Linked DNA regions of Cricetulus griseus. The protein of the gene in region 3 interacts with the protein of the main gene of each other region in a biochemical or structural test. Links are inferred from orthologs where the notes say so. Each region holds a gene or a part of one and is shown on either strand. Other genes may lie near its edges. The genes, in order: Ubqln1, Prkaca, Ube3a, beta-actin-like protein 2 and Esr1.

Region 1 (5,222 bases), about 140 Mb from region 3:
ACACCCAAGAAAAATGAAACCATATGTCTACAAAAACAAAACAAAACAAAACACATGTATCATAAGTGTTCAGAGACATTATTCACAACAAAAAACAGAAACTTACATGATCAATAAGTAATGAAGAAATAAGATGTGGTACACATCCATATAGTGGCATATTACTGAGCAATATATAGGAAATACTTGGGGCAATTTTGAGATAGTTCAGAAGGTAAAGGTATTTACCATCACACCTGGTGTCATGACTTCAGTCCTTACGACCTACACATTACCTTCTAATCGCCACACACACATTACACATATGGAGAGTAAATAAGGCTCTACAGGGAGCACTTGCTTCAAAAACTAAAACAAGGATGCCCGGTGATGGTGGTGGTGGCAGCAGCACACGCTTTTAATCCCAGCACTCAGGAGGCAGAGGCAGGCGGATCTCTGAGTTCGAGACCAGCCTGGTCTACAGAGCAAGTGCCAGGATAGGCTCCAAAGCTACACAGAGAAACCCTGTTTCGAAAAACAAACAAAAACAAACAAACAAAAAACCCAAACAAAAAAAGTGTGATTTGCCTAACAGCATAAGCTTTCAATATTCTTTTTTTCCTACCCCCTCACAGGTTAAGAATTTTCAGAATCAAGTATTTCCCAACATCAGCCTGCCATTTGAGAGGATGTGGAGTGCACTGGGGACTCAGTCAGGGCCTCCTGTATCTGAACCACACGCTCCACCACTGAACCCTAACCCCAGCCCCACTCACAATCACTAAGCATTTTTAAAGGCAATCTTATTGCCACCAAATACTACTCATCAACAAACTTTAATCTGTAGTAAATATCAAACCTACTAAATTCTATAAGAAAAATTAAGTTACAAAATGGTAGACCTTGTCTTGTGCTACAAATAGTTTTATATTTTTTTTGTACATGTTTCTAAGTCTGCTCCCCTGACTCACTCAGCAGTTTGATGTGTTTTCCGTTTGTGGTACAGGGGTAAGCTTTCAACTTTCATCACATTTTCTGTTTCCACAGAAAACAGAGAAAGCTTTAAACATTAAGCAATATCAGAGTAAGTTACTTTAGGAAGGTTTTACTTTTACCCATTAAATCATTTTTAGTTACAGCATAGTGAAATATAAACTTCTACGGAATTTAAAACTTTAGTGTCACTCTTTAAAAAAAAATCTTACAAATCTTCACATAAATAATTTTTTCATTTATTATATTTCTAAAGTCCTGAAATAAAATGGGGAAGCTGTCAGGATGGAAATTTAAGCTGGGAATCTTAGACTCAAGAGCTTCATGATTTATTATCGCTACACATTCATTAAACAGCTACAATAAAAAATAAAAACAAACAAACAAAAAAACCTTGTACATAGCAAATATTAGCAAGGATACAGAACAAGAGAAATACACACCCATATGCTGTTGGTTGTGTCTTATAAAACTAAACAGAACTGGCCAGATGAGGTGGCGCAAGCCCTCAATCCATCCCAGCACTTGTGAGATCCAAGTCAGCCTGGTCTACAAAGCAAGTTCCAGGACAGCTGGGGCTACATAATGAAACACTGTCTCAAAATAAAACAAACAAAATAGCAGGGCATGCTGGCACAGGCCTTTAATCCCAGCACTAGGGAGGCAGAGGCAAGTGGATCTCTGAGCTGGACTATAGAGTTCCAGGACACCCAAGGCTGTTTCACAGAGAAACTCTTGTCTTGAAAAACCAAAACAGCACCACAACAAAACTCAAAAAGTAAACAGAAGCATTCTAATGCAGATAAAGGCATATATTGTCAAAATGATTTATATGCGACTGTTCACAGCAACTACAATTGAGAAAGACCCTGGACAGTAGATTGTGGCATATGCATGCTATGGAAAACCACAGAGCAGTTAGGTACTGAGCTGGGGACATGGGTCAGTGGTAGAGTGGAGCCTGTGCCTAGTATGCAAACATCTGGGGTGGGAGGGGTACAAACATTCACAAGGATGAATCTCAAAAATATGCTGAAGAGGGAAAGAAAAAAAGTCTTTCCCAAAAGATTTCATTATATACAACTCTGCGTATGTGAACTTCTGGACAGGCAAAATCAATCTCTGGTGGGGGAAAAAAAAATCCCCACGGGGGTGACAAAGAGTGACTTCTTTAAAGAGAAGGTGAGACAAAAGCTTTCAAGTCAGCTCTAACAGGCCACACCTAGTTGTGTGCTTGGCTGGCACAGGTGTAGATGGGTTTGTGAAAACTGGCTAAGGCACCCACGTGCACATCAAATTTATGTGGAATAAATTTCCACAACAGTGGTTTTCAAGTTAACTAACACGCACACGGCTTACGTGCCTTGTAAGGTGATACCGATATCGGTATTTACACCTTAAAAATGTATTTTAGAAATAAGGGACGCATAACACAGCAAGTGCAGGAAAATGTCAATCGTGGGTGAGGCACACACATGCTGGAAAACACAAAGACGTTCAACCTTTTACAGCAGCGTTAACAAGGAATGGTGATTCAGTCAACAGTAGTTCCCTCAGCTGATGCCACACACCCTCCTGTTTCACAAAAAAAAAACAAAAACAAAAAAAAAAAAAAAAAACGACTTCACCTTTGGAACTAGATAAACGTTCAGAGAACCTAAAGGCACATTCCAGTGCCTGTTAATTGCGTCCTCGCACAAAACCGTCCACGATGTTGAGACTGTCAACAATCCGAGTGCTCTAGAACGTGCTAAACAGATAAATCTGCTAACTTTTACCAGGGGCTCTTAATTAGCTGCAAAATTTGCTTTCCCTGAACGGGATTTAAAGCGATTATTTGTTTAGTAAGACTCCCCGTTAACACCAATTCTGTTTTCTTGCGTCCGGCGGCAACCACCTAACACCCCGGCAGGTAGGTATGGCTCTCGTCCCCCTGGAGTCGAACAATAACCTGCCCCGTGACGGGCGGGCGAGCCGGCGAGCGGGCGAGCGGCTGGGCGATGACGAAGGTTATTGAGACAGAAACAGCGAGTCGTCCGTGAATCAAAGTCTTTGACTTTTCTCCCTCGGGCGTGAGCTTATCACCAGGCTGACTGAAAGCGATCTCCACGTCACAATTTTAAATATATATGTATATATATAATAGCGTATATATAATAAAAGGCTGAAAGGTGTGGGGGGGACACACAACACAGAACGCAGCCTGCACGTGCTCCTCACCCCCAAATCTCTGCGATTCGCCGGCAGGTGAAACAATGACCCCCACCGGGCCCCGCCCGCCTCACCTCACCGCCCCGCCGCCCCGCCAGCCGGGCCACAGAGGCCGAGCGAGCGCCGCCCGCGCCCTGCCCGCCCGCTCCTTTGTCAGGAGCCGAGGCCCGGAGCTCGGCGGCCGCCGCTCGCCCTCCCCCGGCCCCGCAGAGCCCCGCAGAGCCCCGCAGGGCCGGGCCCGGCCGCCCTCCCCGCCCCGGCGCCCCGGCGCCCCGGGGCCTCACCTGCTGGACCGAGCTGTCCTCGGGCACAGCGAACTCCTCCTTCTCCTTGGGCGTCTTCACCGTGACCTTCATGATCTTGGGCTCCGCGGGGCCGCCGTCGGCCGCGGCTGCGTCCTGCGCGCCCGGGGGGCCGCCGCTCTCGGCGCTCTCGGCCATGGCGGTGACTCAGGCGACCGGGACCCTGCGGGCTGCGGCCGGCTCGGCGCGGCGCGGCGGAGCGGAGCGGGCACGGGCTGCGGCGGGGCCGCCGAGGGCGCGCGGGCACGGGCTGCGGTGCGGTGCGGTGCGGTGCGGGCCCGGGCGGGCGATCGATGGCTCGGCTGCCGTCTCCGCGTCGCCGCGCCGCCGCCGCCGCCGCCGCTTCCTCCTCCCGCACCTCCCCCACGTCCGTCGCCGGCGCCGCGCAGGGCACGCTGGGTAACGCGCTGGCCGCCGCGCCGACTCAGGGGCGCGGGGCACGCCGGGAAGCCGAGTCCTCGCCCGCCTCACGCCTGCCGCCGCCGCGCGCCGCCGCCGGGCTGACGAGGGGCGCGGGCTCCTCCGGCTCCAAGGCAGCCGCGGCGGCGGCAGGGGGAAGGGGACAGCGAGTTAACTCGGTTCGCTTCATCGCCCCCGCTGCGTCGGGAGCCGCTCCCCGGGGTCTCTGCGGGGCGCCGCCGCGGCGCCCTGAAATGACGTCACGGCCGGCGGCGAACTTGCTGGAAGCGGCCTGGCCCGCTGGGCCTGCGCTCCCGGTGTCCCCCGACCCGGCCCCGGTGGCCGGCGGCCCGCGCGGGCACTTGGTTCTGAGGAGCGCAGCGTGTGCCCGGGCGGAAGGGGCTGGGGCCGCCCGCCCGGCTCTGGGCCCCGCTGGAGCTGCGCCACCGCGGGCGGGCGCGGAGACGGGAACGGACGCGGGGCAGCGCCAGCGCCAGCGCCAGCGCGGGGCCCACAGCCCGCAGGCGTGGGTGCAGGGAGGCCGCGGCCCCGTCCCCGGAGCCAGGCCGGACACACGGCCGCCCTGCTCCGCCTTCCACGCTGTGCGCGGCAGACGCGGGTGCCCAGGGCGGGCCGCTCCACGGGTGGGCTGCAGCCTGGGGCTCGTGTGCGCCTCCAGGACGCGGTCCAAAGTTACTGCGCCCCCCCCCCCCCAGGCCCGAGGTGCCCTCCGGGGTAACCCCAGTGGAGAACGTAGGTCCAGTTAAGTTATTTCCGTTTCAGCCGTGACCCCCACGCCATCCATAACTTGCGATACATTGTGGCACTTGGCACACTAGCTGGTGCTGCACCAAGGTGAGCGCTGACAGAGCACCGTGACCCAAATACGCAAAGACATCCCATATTTTTGCTCTTAGGCCATCGAACCCTTTTCCGTGATTAACTGCTGTTGCATAAACACGTCTTAGCAGAGCCCTTTGAAATCTGGGTCAGAGTTGCGGCGGCGGTGTAAATTGCAAGACGAGGTATCGGTGGATATCACTTAGTGCCTGCCAGCATTGTTCAGCGACAGGAAGCGTTTACAAGGCCTATGTCTAGGTACGAGACGATCGCTTACTTCTTGGGGGTAGGAAGTTCCACCGTTGGGCAAGCAAGTATTTTGGACATTTCTTCTGTATATTTAAGTAAAATCTCTCCCCAACTTCATTAGCTCCCTGTTCTCATCTGGTTTTCCTTCATGCAGTATTTTCCCAGGCTGCCTTTCAGCCTACAGTGACCTCCCTTCCCTTCCCATTTCTTTACTCTTACGTCGCATTCCCCTGGAAGTCTTTACTCCCT
Region 2 (4,702 bases), about 22 Mb from region 3:
TCTGCTGGGAGAGGCAGGCAGTAGGTGAGTGTGGGTTTCTGGGGTTAGGCCTTTGTTTTTGCTATGCACCACCACCTCCTTTGTTTTTGTTTTGTTGTTGTTTGTTTTTTGAGAGCTCTGCCTTCTACTCGAGATCCTCCTGTCTTAGCCTCCTAGTTCTGGGATTACAGATGAGCTTATTCTTTTGTGTTGTCATGCTTGGGGTGGAACAAGGCCTTGTGAATCCTGGCAAGTGCTCTGCTGCTAAGCTACAGCTGCAGTCTATACTCCTTTGATACAGGTTCTTGCTATATGCCCTAGGCTGGCTTTGAACTCAGAGTCCTACCTCAGCTCCCAAAGTCTTGATCTTATAATTCTGTGCCATTGCTCCAAGCCTGTTTTCTTGGTACTGTTCTCCCTGTGCCCTGACCTATCTCACTACTAGGGAGTCAGGAGGATTGCTCTGAGCTCAAGGCCATCCTGGGCTACATAGTGAGTTCCATGTCATACTGGGCTACAATATAAGATCTTGTCTCAGAAAATCAAGAGAGGACCTGGGTGTGGTGGTGCATGCCTTTAATCTTAGCACTCAAGAGTCAGGTAGGAACAGAGGTGGATCTCTGTGAGTTTGAAGCTAATCCGGTCTACATAGTGAGTTCCAGGACAGCCATGGCTATGTAGAGAGACAGCCTGTCTCAAAGGGAAAAAAAAAAAAAAAAATCAAGAGAGAGTATTAGCCGTAGTTCTCTAAAGGAACAGAACTGACAGAATGAATATTTATATGTGGGAATTATTAGAGTGTCTTACAGGCTGTGGTTTGGGTAGTTGTCCAGGCCTAAGACTGGATTATCTCAGCAGTCCTAATCTATTGCTGGAGTTCTGGAAGATTTCTGGACAGCTGCTCTTTCTTAGTCTACACTGAAATTCTGAAGAAATAGGTTCTAACGCCAGCACAGGAATGCCTCAGCAATATGACAGATGAACTTGCCAGTGCAAGTGAGGGCAAGCAGGCAAAAAGCAAAATTTCCTTCTTCCATGTCCTTTTCTGTAGCCTATTGCCAGAGGATGTGGCCAGGTGTATGGTGGGTCTTCCCACTTCAGATGATCTAATAAAGAAACCCCTTATACGTGTATCCAGATGCTGGGGTTTTAGAGGACTCCATATATAGTTAAATAGCCAACTAAGGTTAACCATCACAGAGGGAATAGCTGGCATTTCTGTACCATAAACCTTGTGCCAGGCTGCTGTCCAGTACCCTTTGCCTGGGTGGACTTCTCCCACCACTACCACCCTACAAGATCATCATTGCTTTATCCCCGTTGCTCGTGTGGAAAATTGAGACTTAGAAAGATGAGATCAGTTGTCCAAAGACACACAGCCCGTGACTGACCAGACTCTGAACCACTACCCTGAAGTCTTGTCCCCTAGCTGCCTCACGGTGGCTATACCTAACAGTGAACTGTCTCCAGGCCTTGTTTTCCTGGTTATTAATAGGGTAAAACAGATACATATAAGGAAGGTTGTCATTCAGATCACATAAGTGTGTTGATGAAGTGGGTGCCCCAGCCAGACACCAGGGGCAGCTTCTACATTGGTAAATGAGATGCTGGCCTCAGGATGCTGCAGGCACCAGGGTGGAGTGTGCCTGAAGGGAGGTACCCAGTAAAGCAGTTCAGGGGTGAGAGCTCTTCCCTCAGCAAAGGCAGGCACAGAACCAGTGGGGGCTAAGGTGACAGCTGAGCCCCCCCAAGGGTGCCTGCTACACTAGCCCTACAGGCCTCCACCAGGGCCTGGCCTCAACAGACAAGCAGCCAGATCAGAGGCTATAAATACCTCAGCTGGCACAGCCCTGGCCAAGGAATGTCTGTTAGTGCTAGGGAGAGTGGGGTGGGCTGGCCCGTGTGCCTCTTGGTCCTGTGTGCCCCTGAGTCTCCATGAACCCTATTTAGGAATGACCGGAATCTGGGACCCACCTCTGTAATTAAAGGGGTACTCAGGGCCCAGCCCAATCACCCTAAATTGCCTCTAGGATCCCCCAAAGACACTGGGAAAATACTGGACTCTGGCTTGAGACAGCTGTCCCCACTAACCACCAGAGTGCAAAAACTTGATGTGCCTTGAAACATAACTTCCTCTCTCTCCCTCAGTGAAAGAGTTCCTAGCCAAGGCCAAGGAAGAATTCCTGAAAAAATGGGAGAGCCCTTCTCAGGTAAGCACCTCAGACTGAACAGTTCCCAGGGGACACTGCCTAGCTCTGTCCCTGTGTTCCCTTCCCAGCTCTGCCCCATTCCCTTCTGACATGCCCACGGTGACTCCTGCTTCTCATCTCTGGGCCCCCACCCCACTGAACCCTTGCACCTGGCAGCCCCCGCTCCCCATGCAGCTGCCAGCAACTCCTGGGCCCCAGGCCAGGGCCGGATCTGGCCCCTGCCATCCTGCCTGGAAGAATGTCCCCTGGGTCATCTCCACCCACTCCCCAGGGCCCCCTCTGCCGGTGACATAGGGGACTCCACAACCCAGAAATCTGCAGAGGTGCTTCTGACCTCTCCTATCCCTGCCCACAGAATACAGCCCAGTTGGATCACTTTGATAGAATCAAGACACTTGGCACTGGCTCCTTTGGGCGAGTGATGCTCGTGAAGCACAAGGAGACTGGGAACCACTATGCCATGAAGATCTTGGACAAACAGAAGGTAAGATAATCAGCTACCAATCAGGCTTTCCCACTGCTGTCCACCCAGACCCCATGCCAAGCCCACCCCTGCCCACATGGCTTTGCTGCCCATTCATTCACCACTCACCAGCTGCCAAATAATAGAACCAATCAGCTGTGAATCAGCAATGCAGCCCTCCCCTGCACCTTGGGTTAGAAAGGTCCAGTGGCAGCTTTGCCTTGCCAGACGCAAAATACTGTGCTGAGTCCCTGGAAGTGAAGGGATTGTGTGCATCTTTTCATTGTAAGTTCATTTTCATTGTAAGTAAGGCATTGTAAGTTTTCACTGGTGGTTTAATGTCTACTGCTGGGGTGCAGCTTAGAGGCAGAGCACTTGACCAAACTCTCAGGGCCCTTGGGTCCATCCTTACCTCAGCAAAAGATGAAATAAGTGGGAACTGATGTGAGGTTCACAGTGTTGCTGCACACACAGGCCAGAGCTCTGCAAACTTTGCCATCTGTGCTCAGTAGTGTCTTTGAACCTGTCCCCGTGAGTACTAAGCCACATGCAAGTCCCCCTGATCCTTCACAGTCTGTCAGACCCAAGGGTCAGGAGGGTGTGTACCACTTCACAAGGCCACCCCCACAAAAACATACAGCTGGTCAGAGGTGACCAGGGTGTTCTTGGAGAAAGTAAGGTTTATATAGAAGTTTTTTTGGGTTTTTTGTTTTTGTTTTTGTTTTTCAATTTAGGGTTTCTCTGTATAGCACTTTGTAGGCCAGGCTAGCCTTGAACTGACAGAGATTTGCCTGCCTGTCTCCTCAGTGCTGGATTAAAGGCATGTACCACCATTGCCCAGTTTACACAAAAGCTCTTAAAATTTTTTTTAAACTTATTAATTTTAGTGTTGCGGGGGACTTGTTGGCCAACTATATCAAAACAATGAGGTAGACATGGGAATGAAGAGAAGGCTTGGTGAGTTAAAGGCACTTGCCACCAAGCATGGTGACTTTAGTTCAGTCCCCAGAACCCACATGGTAGAAGGAGAAAACCACTTCTACAAGTTGTCTTTTGACCAAGATCAAGTGTCCTCTGACCTCTACAAGTATGTCATGGTACAACTATGCATCTACACACACATACAATAAGTGAGTTTAAAGAAACAAACAAAAAAAACTTAATGAGTGGGAGAGCTGAAGAGATAGCCTAGTGGATAAGTCGTCACCTCTCAGGCAAGCATGAGTTCAGTCCCCAAAGCGCAGCACAGCAGCTTTGTCTGTGTCAGCACCCCTACTGTGAGAGTCCCTGGGAGCTCAGGGCATCCAGCCTGCCATATGCAGCAGTAGAAAGGATCCTACCATTAAACAAGATGGAAGGCAAGGACATACACCTGCGTTTGTCTTCTGACACACCTGGACTCACACAAACACACGCAATATTTTTATTTTTTGAGACCGGGTTTCTCTGTGTAGCCCTGGCTGTCTTTGAACACAGAGATCCACCTGCCTCTGCCACTGGAGTGCTGAGATTAAATTCGTGTGCCACCACCACTTGGCCAAGATTTTCTTAGAAAGAAAAAAAGAGACAGGGCATGATTGAGGAAACTACCCATTGTCAACTTCCATCCTCTACATATGTGAGCATGCATGAATGCTTACACAGACATAGACACACAAAAACATTCATTTTGAAGCTGTGTGCGGTGGAATATCCCAGCACTTAGGAGGGGAGGTGGAGGAGGATGAGGAAGTCAAGGTCATCCTCATAGCAAGTGCATTGCCATCCTGGCTGTATGAGACCTTGCCTCAAAATAACCAAAACCGTTGTTTGGAAATGGGGTCTCGCTATGTAGCACAGGCTGGCTTCAAACTTGAGATCCTCCTGCCTCTGCTTCTAGAGTCCTGAGGTGACAGGTGTGTGCCACCATATGCAGCTTTTCATAAAGACCGTGTGTGCATGAGTGTGTATTTTTGTATCTGTGTATGCAAGTGCAAGGTAGGGATACAATATCTATACTGGGTCTCTTCTTCAGTCACTCCCCACATTTATTATTATTATCGTTATCGTC
Region 3 (4,702 bases):
TATCTATCAAGGAGAAGGAGGCAATGCTCATTTACCAGGCAGACTTACAAGTTTATATTGAAAAGAGAATGTTTACAAATTTCACTATATAGTCAATCAAAAGTTGCTTGATGCAATCTATAAAAACAACACTCTTTAAAAATTTAAGTGTTCATTATACTTAAAACAGATTAAAAAATTTTTTACCACATTGGGTAGCAGTAGGTATTGACAAAAGATTCCAAACAAAAAGATATTTTTATATAAATTAAGATGTATTTCTGTATTTAGATAGTATCTCAGAGACTATTTAAAGAATGACAAAGAACTTACTGGGTGAGAATCTCCCAAGTCACGAAAGGTTCCTTTTTTCCCCATTAGCTTCCTGTAGACAACCATGGGAAAGTGGACATCCAGTATACAGTTATTGTAAATAGCCAGACCGAGGACTATGCCAATCAGAGTAAACTGACCCTCGGTTTCAAAGGAAGATGGATTAAACCAAAATAATTTTGTGGCTTCATCATATGTGAACATACCTATAAAAAATAAGTTTTAAAATAATTTGTATTTTTGAAAATCTAAAAATTTAAAAATAATTTTAAACAAAATAAGACAAAAGAATTTTAATATAGTAGATATGTTTTTGCTATTGCATGCATGTGAGAAAACTGTACAAATATAGTAACTGATTATCATTAAGTGTATTAACTAGTGGTATACAACTCTAAGAAGCCAACAAAACAAAATATGAAATTTGGGTGACATTCCTGGAAAGGTATTTTTAAAAAGTTTTATTAGGTTATTCAAGGCTTATCAATTTTCATTGACTAATGAAAGGTTAATTTACAGTCATATTTTAGCCACTCAGATGACTGAAAAGTACATAAGAAGCAAACTCATGATCAAGTACAAGAATTAGATAAAGTTGATTAACTTCCAGTTACTTAAGATACATAGCTAATGTGAGCTAATAGTTTTAAAAACCAAATTTGTAATATTTCATCTTTACATAATCACCATTATTCAAGATCTAACTTCAAAGACATTTTTTCATATCATTATTTCATCTAAGGGAGCAGAAATAGATTTGTCTTCTTTTTTCACTGAACATTAAATACAAAAATATTTTAAATAAATCCATATGCGTTTTAATTTTTCTAAATTCATTTTCAGTTGCCTCTCAGGAAACACTTGTAAATTAAGGTTTAATATGCTGGGGGAGAGGGGATTGCACACCTTAGCACTTGGAAGAATGAGGCAGGTGGGTCATGAGTTTAAGGCCAGAATGCACGAATACAATATAAAAAGACTGTCCACAAAACCAAAACCAAGAACAAAGTAAACAAATCAAAGAAGGCTTGGGCAAAGAAACTTTTAACCTAATGGAACATTTCTCAAAACCAAATAAAACAGCATTAAAATGTGCTTCTAAGTTCATTTTGAAAAGATTTAAAACTTTTCATTTTCAGTTTTAATGAAAAGAAAAATACAATTTTCTCTTTGACCTCTATACTTCTTTTTGCAATTTAATATTTGTGAAATACTCGTTTTAAAATTATCCAACTCATATTTGAGTTCTACAGTTTGAAAAATATGTATACATGTATGGTTATTTATTTGCAAGCCAAGTTATAGATCCACAGAGTATCAAAAACTCCAATTGACAAGCAGTAAGTGGGATAGAATGTCACAAATGGATGATTTTGGTTACAAGAACAATAAGCTATAAATTATCCAGTGTCTAAAATTCATAAGCCATTATTCTCATGCCTTCAGTAGCTTCCAATCCTCCATTCCAAGGTTTTCCAAATTAAATTTACCAAAAAGGTAATTGTCATCTACCAGAATATTTGGTTAATTAATCTAAGAAATAAGGTAAATACAGCAGTAGACAGATCAGTTCCTGAAGCATACACATTTGTTATCTATAATTACAAGTAAGCCATATCCAATTCTTTTGCTGTTCATCATAGCTGAGAATCTTCATAAAACCAAGTTCATAATTCAAAAGACTAACATGTCATCATCATATCACTAACACTTACCAATATCTGGATTAAAGATTTCCTCCACAACCAACTGAAAAAATTCTTTGGAAACACCTCCTTCATCCACTCCTTGCTCTCCTTCAAATTCCACATACAACTGCTTCTTCAAGTCTGCAGGATTTTCCATAGCAATCATCTCCAGCTGTTCAATGAAAAGATAAAGAAGAGGACCAATTATAATAGGATAAAAGCTACATGCAAGTAGAAGAAAACAAGGACTATTAACAGGAAACAATCTTGTTTCTCAATGGAAACAAGAAGCAAACTGACCCCCCAAAAGAGTATGGCAGAGTGCTAGGGACATGGCTCATTAGGTAAAAGCACTTTATCTGCAAGCATTAAAACCTCAGCTGGAATCCCTAGCATTATGACCATTCGTGCCTTCAACACTACTTAATACCTGCAACATGGTGGGGAAAAGGCCACAACTCTCAGGATTGCTAGTTAGCCAGCCTAGACAAAATGGTGAGCTTCCAGTTCACTCAGATATCTTATTATCTAAAAGTGGAAGACACCTGTCATCACAGACTGGTCTCCAGATGTTCACACATGAGTACACACATCAGCACATTCATATGCATGAACCACAAACATAAACCACACAACACATACACACAAAACCACCATACATAAAATGGTTACTTCTAACTTGGTAACTAAATTTTCTATTATATTTTATATAATAAATTAATATAGTATATAGAACAAGATATGAGAACAAATTGAGGCAACAAAATGCCTAATTGACTACTCATATTGTCATTTTAGCAAAAGAAAGCATAGAAATGTGACCTATACATTGTTTACTAGTAGAAAGTATATAGTGGATCTATGAATAATTTACATTTATTGGAAGGGAAATGTAGAGTTAAGCCTTCCTAACTGCCATGTTATAAGTGAAATAACTTCAATTAAGAAATATACATTCGAAAGCCAGATGTGGTAGTTCAGGCCTATGAAACAGGAAAATCCTAAGTTCTAGGAAATCTTGGAATACATATCAAGTCTCTGTTGTTAACACAATTCCCCTCTGCCAAAACAAATTTATACTTATTGCCACTTCTCAGTGGATTATAATGTCCCATACAACATCCACATTTTCACAAAGGCAGGTGAAACATACACTTGCTATCTTTTTTTCTTTATCTAACAATTAGCCAAACCTGTTCCACTAGTATTAACTTCAGTCCATTAGAAATTAATATTAAATCCTAATGTGTTGGGTTTAAAATGTAATTTGGTTCTCCTATTTCAACTTTGCATATAGTATTCATAACTAATTATCCAATTTATTTTCAATATTGTTTCCAAACACCCGTTGGCTTAAAAAAATGACAAAACAATATTTAAGGATGTTAAAGTTTTTCTTAACTATTCCAAAAGGAACTTTTAAAATAGGCTTGAAGAGGGCAGGAGAGATAGCTCAGAGGTTAAGAGCACTGACTGTTCTTCCAAAGGACCTGAGTTCAATTCCCAGCAACCACATGGTGTCTCATAACCATCTATAATGAGATCTGGCGCCCTCTTCAGGCGCCAGGAAGAACATTGTATACGGAAATAAATAAAATCTTAAAAAAAAAAAAAATAGGCTTAAAGAATGTAAATGGCACTGGAATAAGTATACTAGCTCCTTAAAGCAAATGCCATAAGCAACAATAGTTTTTGGTATCCTAAGTGTCTATAAAAAATAAAAGTAGAATCTCATAAATTTAAGAATCTGGCAGAGATACCCTAGATCTAAGTTTTTAAAACTGCTAGCTGCAATAGTTTGCAACCAGTAGGAAATAAAAAGCAAACAAAAACAAAAAACCACCACCACATCTAATTGTACCTACTGTTTTTAGCCAGATAAATTTCAATATACAGATATATATTTTATTTAGGATACTATATTTTTTTTTCTTAGTAGGGGATGCAGCCAAAACTTTTTGAAGGAAAAAAAAAAAAAAAAAGCAAATGGTTCAAATTACTTCCTGAATATCTTCAACTTTGGGGGTCTAGGATACTATGAATTTATTTTTCTAATTATCTCTCTCTTGGTCTTGTTTAACTCATTTGTATGTCTTCATGGGTGTAGACACACATGGGTGATTACACCTCAGCTGTTATTCCTCAGGACCTGTTCACCTTGCTTGTCAATGAAGGACTGAAGATCAGAATAGGCTGTACTGACAGTCAGGGTGCCAATACCGGACTACCTAGCAACAGGATTACAATGCCCACTCAATTTTCCTTTTTTTAAACAGGGTTTTGGGGATTAAACTCGGGTCTACTTGAAAGTGCTCTAATAACTAATCTACCCTCAAAGCTCACAACATTATTTTCAGATCAGTTTTTATTGAAAATTTATTTTTGAGGCTATATTTTGTTTCTGAACATATAAGAAACCAAATACTCTTTACAGACCCTGTCACTAAAGATTAACATTTAATTATTAAGTTTTAGTACATCAAGCCAACTTTCTAATGTACAAAGAAAAGAGGAGATAATACTCTTCCTACTAGAAGATGGTAAAAGCTTAGGAATATATAATTTCTATAAAGCATGCACAATTGGTAAGAACTAATATTATCCTTTAAAAATATAGTACTATTTCTTAAAATTCATAACTTTATGTCTTCAAAAGATCAAAAGACTAGTCCTGAGACTCTACGGTCATAAAACATGTAGAT
Region 4 (4,157 bases), on a different chromosome or scaffold from region 3:
AATTAAAGGTGACTTTGGAGAAGTCACATATGAGGATGAAAACTCTTTTTGCTTTAGAAGATCTGACAAAAAAGTTTCATTCTACTTCCTGACATGTGTAGGACAAGAAACCAAGAGCTTTCTTTTTTTATCATTTTTTATTTGAATTAGAAACAAGATTGATTTACATGACAATCCCAGTTCCCTTCTCCCTCTCGTCCTCCACTACCACACTCCCAACTAAAACCCTACCTATTGAATATCCTTTCTTCTATTCTTCACCTGACTCAACCTTTCTGCTCCCTCATGACCTCTGCATCCTTCCTCTTCTTCCCTTCTCATTCTCGTAGCTTCCTCCCCCTCTTCCCATGCTCTCAATTTGCTCAGGGGATCATGACCCTTTCCCCTTCTCCAAGGGACAATGTTTGTCTCTTTGAGGGTCTTCCTTGTTTACTAGCTTCTCTGGCAGTGTGGATTGTAGGCTGGTAATCCTTTACTCTATGTCTAAAATCCACATATGAGTGAGTACATATCATGTTGTCTTTTTGTGACTGGGTTACCTCGCTCCAAATGGTTTCTTCTAGTTCCATTCATTTGCCTGCAAATTTCAAGATTCCATTGTTTTGTTTTGTTTTTTCCACTGAGTAGTACTCCATTGTGTAAATGTTCCATATTTTCTCCACCCATTCTTCAGTAGAGGGGCATCTAGGCTGCTTCCAGTTTCTGGCTATTATAAATAATTCTGCTATGAACATCGTTGACAGATATCCTTGTTGTATGAATGTGCTTCTTTTGGGTATATGCCTTGGAGTGGAATTGCTGGATCTTGTGGTAGACTGATTCCCATTAAGAAACTATGAGCTTTCTTAACTGAAGGCTTCTCAGTTCCTCATGTCCTGTGATCCATCATGACAAGCATTTACCAAGTTGTCTGTGTTTCCACATTAACCACCAAATTCAAATCAACTTCATCCAAAGTGGTCAGGATAATAAATCTTTAAATGAAAAGAAAGTAATGCTGTATCAATTGTGTTGAGTTTAACAACCACAGGCTTGCTGTCATGATAAAATACAAGCACCTTGAAGATCAGGTTTTTTTAAAACATCAATAAGCACTCAGATGCATAATTTAAAATTTTTTATCAATTTGTTTATTGTTATATAATCCAAACTTTTTATAAAAATTCACTGCAAATAAAGAGTTATAATTTGCATTTTATTTTTTATTTGAATTAGAAACAAGATTGATTTACATGACAATCCTAGTTCCCTTCTATAATTTGCATTTTAACTAATAAATCCCTCGAAAACATTGGCATTTTGCCTCTATGCAGTTGACATCCACTTAGTAAACCTATGAGCAATGCCAATGCATAGTAATAAATTTGGGTATTAGAAAATATAAATTATAAAATGTGGTTATTAGACATTTATGTCAGAAAAATATATAGTGGCTTACTTTATTGATTACCCTCTTGATTTTACTTATGCCTGGATGATTTGAAATCAATTAAACAGCTCTACATTTTTTTAAGTCACAAGTACATTCTGATTAAAGCCTTGACCAATCATTATTTTCATTCATTAAAACAGTTTCTATCATTGATGACATCTTGAAGTAATAGGAAATAAAATCTTGGAAAAGTAAAGACAAAAATCAGAGACTCTTCGTATGAACAATATATCAAAACTGAAAAGTCAAAGCTAAATGGGTGCAGAGTACAAGCTCAAGAGAGACGGTCCTTCCAGCAGGGTCACCCTTCCCATCTCTAGCTCTCTTTAATCTTGTGGTTACATTCCCCATTGCATCATGTAGTTATCTAGATACCTTGCCAAGCAGACTGGCAGCCGTGTGTGGGTTGCCTAATTATAGTATACTGAGATTTAGCCACTTGGTAGCCAGTTTTCTCTTTATGAAAGAAGGCCTAGTAATGATTTCTGTAATTATCATAATTATTAATACCTCAAAGGTAGCCCCACCCAGAAATGCTGGGAACTGGTGGGGTAGGAAATGGGTGGGGTCAGTGTGTTCCTTTAAATAGGGTGATCGAGGTACTGGCTTCCTTCTCTGAAGACAGTTCTGAAGTGTTCTCTGGTTATCCATTCTTTCTTGTACATCATAGTCTAGAACTTACCTCTATTCAACTTCAGTTCACCCATCTGGAAAATCCTAGCCAGCAACCATGGTTGATGATGAGCTGTCTGCCTTGGTAGTAGATAATGGGTCGGGAATGTGCAAGGCGGGATTTGGGGGTGATGATGCACCCCGGGCTGTGTTCCCCTCCATGGTGGGGCGTCCCCGACACCAGGGAGTCATGGTTGGCATGGGCCAGAAGGACTGTTATGTGGGAGATGAGGCCCAGAGCAAGCGAGGCATCTTGACCCTGAAGTATCCTATTGAACATGGAGTTGTCACCAACTGGGATGATATGGAGAAGATCTGGTACCACACTTTCTACAACGAGCTGCGTGTAGCGCCAGATGAGCATCCTATTCTTCTCACTGAGGCACCGCTCAACCCCAAGATCAACCGGGAAAAGATGACTCAGATAATGTTCGAGGCTTTCAACACACCTGCCATGTATGTAGCTATCCAAGCTGTGCTGTCCCTCTACGCTTCAGGAAGGACTACGGGTATCGTGATGGATTCTGGGGATGGGGTCACTCACACCGTGCCCATCTATGAAGGCTATGCTCTTCCCCATGCCATTCTACGACTGGATCTGGCAGGCAGAGACCTGACTGATTATCTCATGAAGATCCTGACAGAACGAGGCTATAATTTCACCACCACAGCTGAACGGGAGATTGTGCGGGATGTCAAAGAGAAGCTATGCTATGTAGCCCTGGACTTTGAGCAGGAGATGGTTGCTGCATCTGCTTCATCCTCTCTTGAAAGAAGCTATGAGCTTCCTGATGGGCAGGTGATCACCATTGGGAATGAACGCTTCCGGTGCCCAGAAGCCATTTTCCAGCCTTCCTTTCTAGGCATTGAGTCCAGTGGGATCCATGAGACAACCTTCAACTCCATCATGAAGTGTGATGTGGATATTCGTAAGGATTTATATGCCAATACTGTGCTGTCTGGAGGCAGCACCATGTACCCGGGCATTGCCGACAGGATGCAGAAGGAAATTGTAACCTTGGCACCAAGCACCATGAAAATCAAGATCATAGCTCCCCCAGAACGCAAGTATTCTGTTTGGATTGGGGGTTCCATCCTAGCCAGCCTGTCCACATTCCAGCAGATGTGGATCAGTAAGCAGGAATATGATGAAGCTGGTCCTCCTATTGTACATAGAAAATGCTTCTGAATGAGCCTCCGTGTCCCTTTTTCTAGGTCACAATGACGGTTCCCATCTCACCCAGTAAAGTTAAGGTAAATAGTTTATTTCCTATTAATTGTTCAAGCCAGAAAATCCATGTCTCCTGGGCTATGACAGCTAACCACACTGTGATTTCCATCCACTGAGGGAGTTCTGATATCATATTCTATTTTCTATGCCTGCAGGGCTCAAAGAAATATAGGCTTGCTTATATGAAAATATGTGACAAGGAATAAAGCCATGAGGAATATAATTTCATTGTGAAAAACTACAGTTTCCAAGCTTTAAATCTAGTTCTTGCTAAAATACTCAACAATACTATATACAAGCCTGTAATATAAAAGTTTAGCAACTAGGTCTTATTAAATCTTTTTTATTTGTTTATCTCTTTCTACACAGATATAATGAATTTTACAGGTCAATCATTCTCTATATCCACATATGCATCAGGGGAGTAAAGTGTTACTTCTTAAATTATAATAATGCATTTGGCTGACTGGGCAACTTACGTGAATTTCTTTACTTTCCAGCAGTCAGCATTTTAGTAGCTCTGTATTTCAATTAATTGCCTTATTAAATAAGCATAACTAAATAGTCAACATTTTATTAGTGTATATAAGTCAAATAAATTTTCTAATCAAGGTGCAGCTCCGTTGGTCAAACATATCTTACTATCTTGGTTGCTGGTCTTCATCATACTCATGAAACAGCAAACCTACAGATAATCACTTGCTTTTTACATAGAAAGATATTATTATATCGAGCTAATTTTGTTCTGCTACAGGGGACAGGAATAATTTTACTTACATTTCTTAGCCTAATAGCATGTCTTGAGTAATATCTGTTGGCCTT
Region 5 (4,702 bases), on a different chromosome or scaffold from region 3:
AACCATAGCACTGAGAGGCAGAGACAGGAGGGTCCCTGAGATAACCCTGAGAGGTGGAGACAGCAGGGTCTCTGGGTTAGCACTGAGAGATGGAAACAGGTGGGTCCCTGGGTTAGACCTGGGGAGATGGAGACAGTAGGGTCCTTGGGTTTGCTTGCCAGCCAAGGTAGGTGAATGAATAAGTTCTAGGTCTAGTGAGAAGGTCTGACTTGAAAACTAAGGTGGAGCATGACTGGGCACACTTGACATTGACCTCAAGCCTCCATGTGGACATACACACTCATGCACTTGCCCATGTACACATGTGTTCACACACAGAAACATCAACATGCTCACACACAAAGTTGTCTGGTGAGTGAAAACTGTACATACATGACAAGAACCATGCACTATTTCAATAAATGGTGTAATATTCACATCAGGGCAATCATCTCCATTTTCTCATAGACTGATCATTTCTCTTTACTGGTTATCTTTTTTTTAAAGCTTTTTTTAGTAATACACAATTGGTTATCATTATCTGGTCACTGCACTTTGCAAAATAACACTGGAATTTATTTCTCCTGTGTGACTGAAAATGAAGCTTAGCCAAATTTACTCTAAGCTTCTCTCACTTTCATTCCTCCTGGCTTCTTAGGATAGGCATTCTGCTCTCAGTGTCTGGACAGCTATTTTGTTTATCCATTTATTTATTTATTTATTTATTTATTTATTTATCCATTCAGCTATTTATTTGTTCACTTATTTTTTGTTTTACATCCCAACTGCAGTTTTCCCTTCCTCCTTTCCTCCTAGTCCTCCCCACCACCTCCCTTCACAGGGTTATTTTATATTACACACGAGTATCTGTTCACCTAACATACTATCTTTCAGCTCTACCCAATTTTTTTTGCCAATGACAGAATATCACTTCTTTTTAATGGCTGAACAGTTTTCTGTGGTGTATATGTACCACATTTTCTTCTTTCATTCATCAGTTTATGGACACTTGCATTGCCTCTCTTTCTTGGGGTACTGTGAACAATGTTGTAATAAACATGGCCATACGAATGTCTCTTCAACATATTGAGTTGGTTTTCTCTGGACATATGGCTGGGAATGAAATTGCTGGGTGAAATAGTAGTTCTATATTTTTAATTTAAAAAGAAAAATTTTTTAAGAATTATTTATATTATGCATATGGATGATTTGTGTGCATGTATGTCCGTACATCATATATATGTCTGGTACCATGGAGGTCAAAAAAGGCATTGGGTCTCCTAAAACTGGAGTTACAGGCAACTATGAGCCACAATGGAGGTCTCTGAGCCAAACCCTGGTCCTCTGTGAGAGCAGCAAGTGTTCTCAGATGCTGAGTCATCTCTCCAGCTCTTCAACTTTTTAAAAAGGAAACTATCTACTATTATTATAGCGAGTGTAGACTTACCACCAGGCAAAGGCATCCTATCATTGAGTTTCTCCATATTCTCATCAATGTTTCTTGTCTTTTGTCTGTTTTATACTTGTCATTCTAACTGGAGTGAGATGGCTTCTCATGGATTTGATTTGCGTTTGTCCCATTTTAGTGATGCTGAACATTTTTTTTTTGGTATCAAATGTTTTACATATGTACACAGCCAACATAAGATCAAAATATACTTTATTCTGGACCTCTTTCAGATCTGATTCAAATTACCGTTGTCAAAGCAATGCAATGCAAAGGGGGAAACTGCAACAACACACACATAAAAAATGTGCCTGGAAAGGGTCAAAAGGTCATTGGGGACAAATCACCATGATGTGGAACCAAAATACATAGCAAGTGTCATTGACATGGTCCAGGAGAGACAGACATCTGTATCAGTCTTCCTTACACAGTCATCATGAAAACTGAACAATAAAGTTCTTTAACGTGTACAAAAACTGTCATGGGCTGGTTTACACTTTACAACAGCTTTAAGGTTACTGGGGAACTAAAGAAAGGATGCAGACATCATCACCCAGTGCTAAGGTATGCTCACAGAATTAGACCCAAAGGATTTCCAAACCCAAATGAAAACATTCTACATAGTGACAATGTCAAAGTCGGGAGACAAAACCATTTCTGTATTTAAGGATGGCAGAGATACACAATGAAGTGTGTAATGAGATGAAAAAGTACACCAGACACAACATGCAGAATGTTTCCTCCAACTTATCCAGAAATTCCAAAGAAAACATGTAACTGCTTGCTAGGTGTTAAAAAAAAAAAAAGCCTAATTATTCACCCGGCTCCAACATGGTCACAGAAGAGCAAAAATAAAGAATGCTATGGACACCTCAGAACTGCTAGAGAAGACATCAGATTCTAAATGAGTGGATTAAAAATGTGAGCACTCCCTTTTTCCCCCTCTTCTACATTCAACTAGAGTCATGTGTTAAACAACTGGTATTAAATGTGACAGACACTTCAGAGCTATTACCGGAAGGAGTAGTTCACATGGTCCCTCTTGCTGACTTCAAACAAAAGGAGGGAATCAAAAACAAACAGAAAACCACCCCCTGGGTCTCTGTAGGCTGGCTGCTAGCCCCCAAATGCTGGCTTTTGCTGGTGTGCCATGATGTTGGTCCACGGAGGCAGGATTTCTGCAGCAACTGTGCCAGTACCACTCTTAACTCGTGGGAATCCAGCTTTTGTGGAAATGATGCTGAACATTTGGCATACTTATTTCTTTTAACCATTATGTCTTTGTTTGAGAAGTATCTCCTTTGGTTGGCTGGCCATTTCTGATTGCATTATTGCTGCTTGAGTTAATTTTTGTGTGTTGATGATTGTTAAATCAGTGTTTCTCTTGGGATTCGGTCATTGGTAGGTCTTACTCCATCATGGTGCTCTACTCCTTCACTACTAAAATTACTGTCAATTTGCTATTAAAGAGTGTCTACAACAGATGCAGTATTTGATATTAAGCTATATTTCATGAGTAACTAACTAATTATTATAATTTTGTTATTTTTATAGCATTTATTGTACACACAGACACATGAACACTTATACACGTATACATACACACATATACACACGTACAAACATGCACAAAAACACATATACACACATATATATATACATACATACAGATACACACATACACAGATACATACATATATGACACACATATACATAAACACACACACATACAATACTAGTGTGTCAGAAACAACTACTATTGGCTCATAAAATCACATTGTTATATTTTCAGGAGTTTGTGTATCTCTAAATATCAGACAAGTGACTTGAAATTTGTTACACTGACATTATTTATCAAATGAATATCATCAATGCCACAAATCAGTGCTGTTCTCTTTTGCCATTTGGAGTGAGAGTTATTAAACACTAGTTTGCATGAGCCTTCCGTATTTATTTTAATAAAATAAAGGGCTATTATCTTTGAAGATGGTGTTTGTACTGAAGTTGACGGGAGAAAAGGGTAATTGAATTTGTTCTTTTATCCTTCTGCATTTTCAGGGATACGAAAAGACCGGAGAGGAGGGAGGATGCTGAAACACAAGCGCCAGAGAGATGACTTGGAAGGCAGAAACGAAATGGGGCCTTCAGGAGACATGAGGGCCGCCAACCTTTGGCCAAGTCCTCTTGTGATTAAGCACACTAAGAAGAACAGCCCTGCCTTGTCCTTGACAGCTGACCAAATGGTCAGTGCCTTGTTGGATGCTGAACCGCCCTTAATCTATTCTGAATATGATCCTTCTAGACCTTTCAGTGAAGCTTCGATGATGGGATTATTGACCAACCTGGCAGACAGGGAGTTGGTTCATATGATCAACTGGGCAAAGAGAGTGCCAGGTAAGAACGCAAAACTCAACGTCTGTTTTAAGAGTGAATGACTCAAGAACTGGCTGTGATACTGTGTGGGGAGGGGAGAAAATAACAGCGTGCGATGTGGTTGGTGTCAGTGCTACATCGGGGCTTGCCAATTGTCAGTGTTAACCCACTGTATTTCTCTTGAAACTTGAGAGTAGCCTTTAAAATCAACACCAAGAACAATAAAGCCTTCGACATAGTATTTCTGGCCAGTTTTCTCTGCTCAGAAGAGTTGGATAGATACTACATACTGCATGCACACATGTGTCTGTCATGCAGAAATCACATTTTAAAAGTGCTTAATGCTCAGTGATCTATGGAATTGTTTTGATTTCTAAGACTATCATTGAAAATGCCTCTATTGAGGAGAATTTTTCCCATAAATAATCTATTCTTCAGATGTTGTGCACTAAAGGGCTAATAATAGGCTTATTTGTGGAATGCCAATTATTTATTCATTTTGCTTTATGCATCCTATGTTCAGAGAAAAGGAAATACAATAGGAAAATAAACACAAGCAATGCCCTGAGGAGCTGCTAGAAAGATCCAGAGGCTGAAGTGACACTCTGTTCATCCTATTGGTCTCTCAAGTGCTGTTTCTAAAGCTCTTGACTGGTCTCCTTTATGGAGAAGGACTCTAGTTATGATGGGAACAAGCCTCTCCCATGCCCCAACTAATGGATTTCGTATACAGAAGCCTAGGCTGAGGCAAAAAGAGGTGGACTCTCTTGTATGGCTTATAGATCAAATCAATGTGAGATTTAAATTGAGCTTTTTTTCTCCCTGGGCTTCAATAGATGAAGTTATTTTTTTGTGACACGTGAGATTTTTTTTTCTTTTTTATAATACTAAAATATATATGGA

The links.
Region 1: the proteins of Ube3a (region 3) and Ubqln1 form a complex in vitro, tested with the Homo sapiens proteins (2 studies listed by BioGRID, with this or other methods). The link is inferred for Cricetulus griseus from reciprocal best matches to the Homo sapiens genes UBE3A and UBQLN1.
Region 2: the proteins of Ube3a (region 3) and Prkaca form a complex in vitro, tested with the Homo sapiens proteins (2 studies listed by BioGRID, with this or other methods). The link is inferred for Cricetulus griseus from reciprocal best matches to the Homo sapiens genes UBE3A and PRKACA.
Region 4: the proteins of Ube3a (region 3) and beta-actin-like protein 2 form a complex in vitro, tested with the Homo sapiens proteins (2 studies listed by BioGRID). The link is inferred for Cricetulus griseus from reciprocal best matches to the Homo sapiens genes UBE3A and ACTBL2.
Region 5: the proteins of Ube3a (region 3) and Esr1 form a complex in vitro, tested with the Homo sapiens proteins (2 studies listed by BioGRID, with this or other methods). The link is inferred for Cricetulus griseus from reciprocal best matches to the Homo sapiens genes UBE3A and ESR1.

Annotation. Positions count from the first base shown.
Region 1 is NC_048596.1:277,234,871-277,240,092, forward strand, and holds the start of Ubqln1 (ubiquilin-1), read right to left. Parts: upstream 3,624-5,222; coding exon 3,468-3,623; intron 1-3,467. Other genes in the region: translation initiation factor IF-2-like, read left to right, coding at 3,622-3,870, 3,914-4,651. UniProt on the Homo sapiens protein: Plays an important role in the regulation of different protein degradation mechanisms and pathways including ubiquitin-proteasome system (UPS), autophagy and endoplasmic reticulum-associated protein degradation (ERAD) pathway.
Region 2 is NC_048596.1:160,435,666-160,440,367, reverse strand, and holds part of Prkaca (cAMP-dependent protein kinase catalytic subunit alpha), read left to right. Parts: intron 1-2,127; coding exon 2,128-2,189; intron 2,190-2,544; coding exon 2,545-2,673; intron 2,674-4,702.
Region 3 is NC_048596.1:138,676,806-138,681,507, forward strand, and holds part of Ube3a (ubiquitin-protein ligase E3A), read right to left. Parts: intron 2,173-4,702; coding exon 2,028-2,172; intron 519-2,027; coding exon 313-518; intron 1-312. UniProt on the Homo sapiens protein: E3 ubiquitin-protein ligase which accepts ubiquitin from an E2 ubiquitin-conjugating enzyme in the form of a thioester and transfers it to its substrates.
Region 4 is NC_048595.1:329,197,149-329,201,305, forward strand, and holds beta-actin-like protein 2, read left to right. Parts: upstream 1-2,162; coding exon 2,163-3,293; downstream 3,294-4,157. UniProt on the Homo sapiens protein: Actins are highly conserved proteins that are involved in various types of cell motility and are ubiquitously expressed in all eukaryotic cells.
Region 5 is NC_048595.1:282,510,893-282,515,594, forward strand, and holds part of Esr1 (estrogen receptor), read left to right. Parts: intron 1-3,484; coding exon 3,485-3,820; intron 3,821-4,702.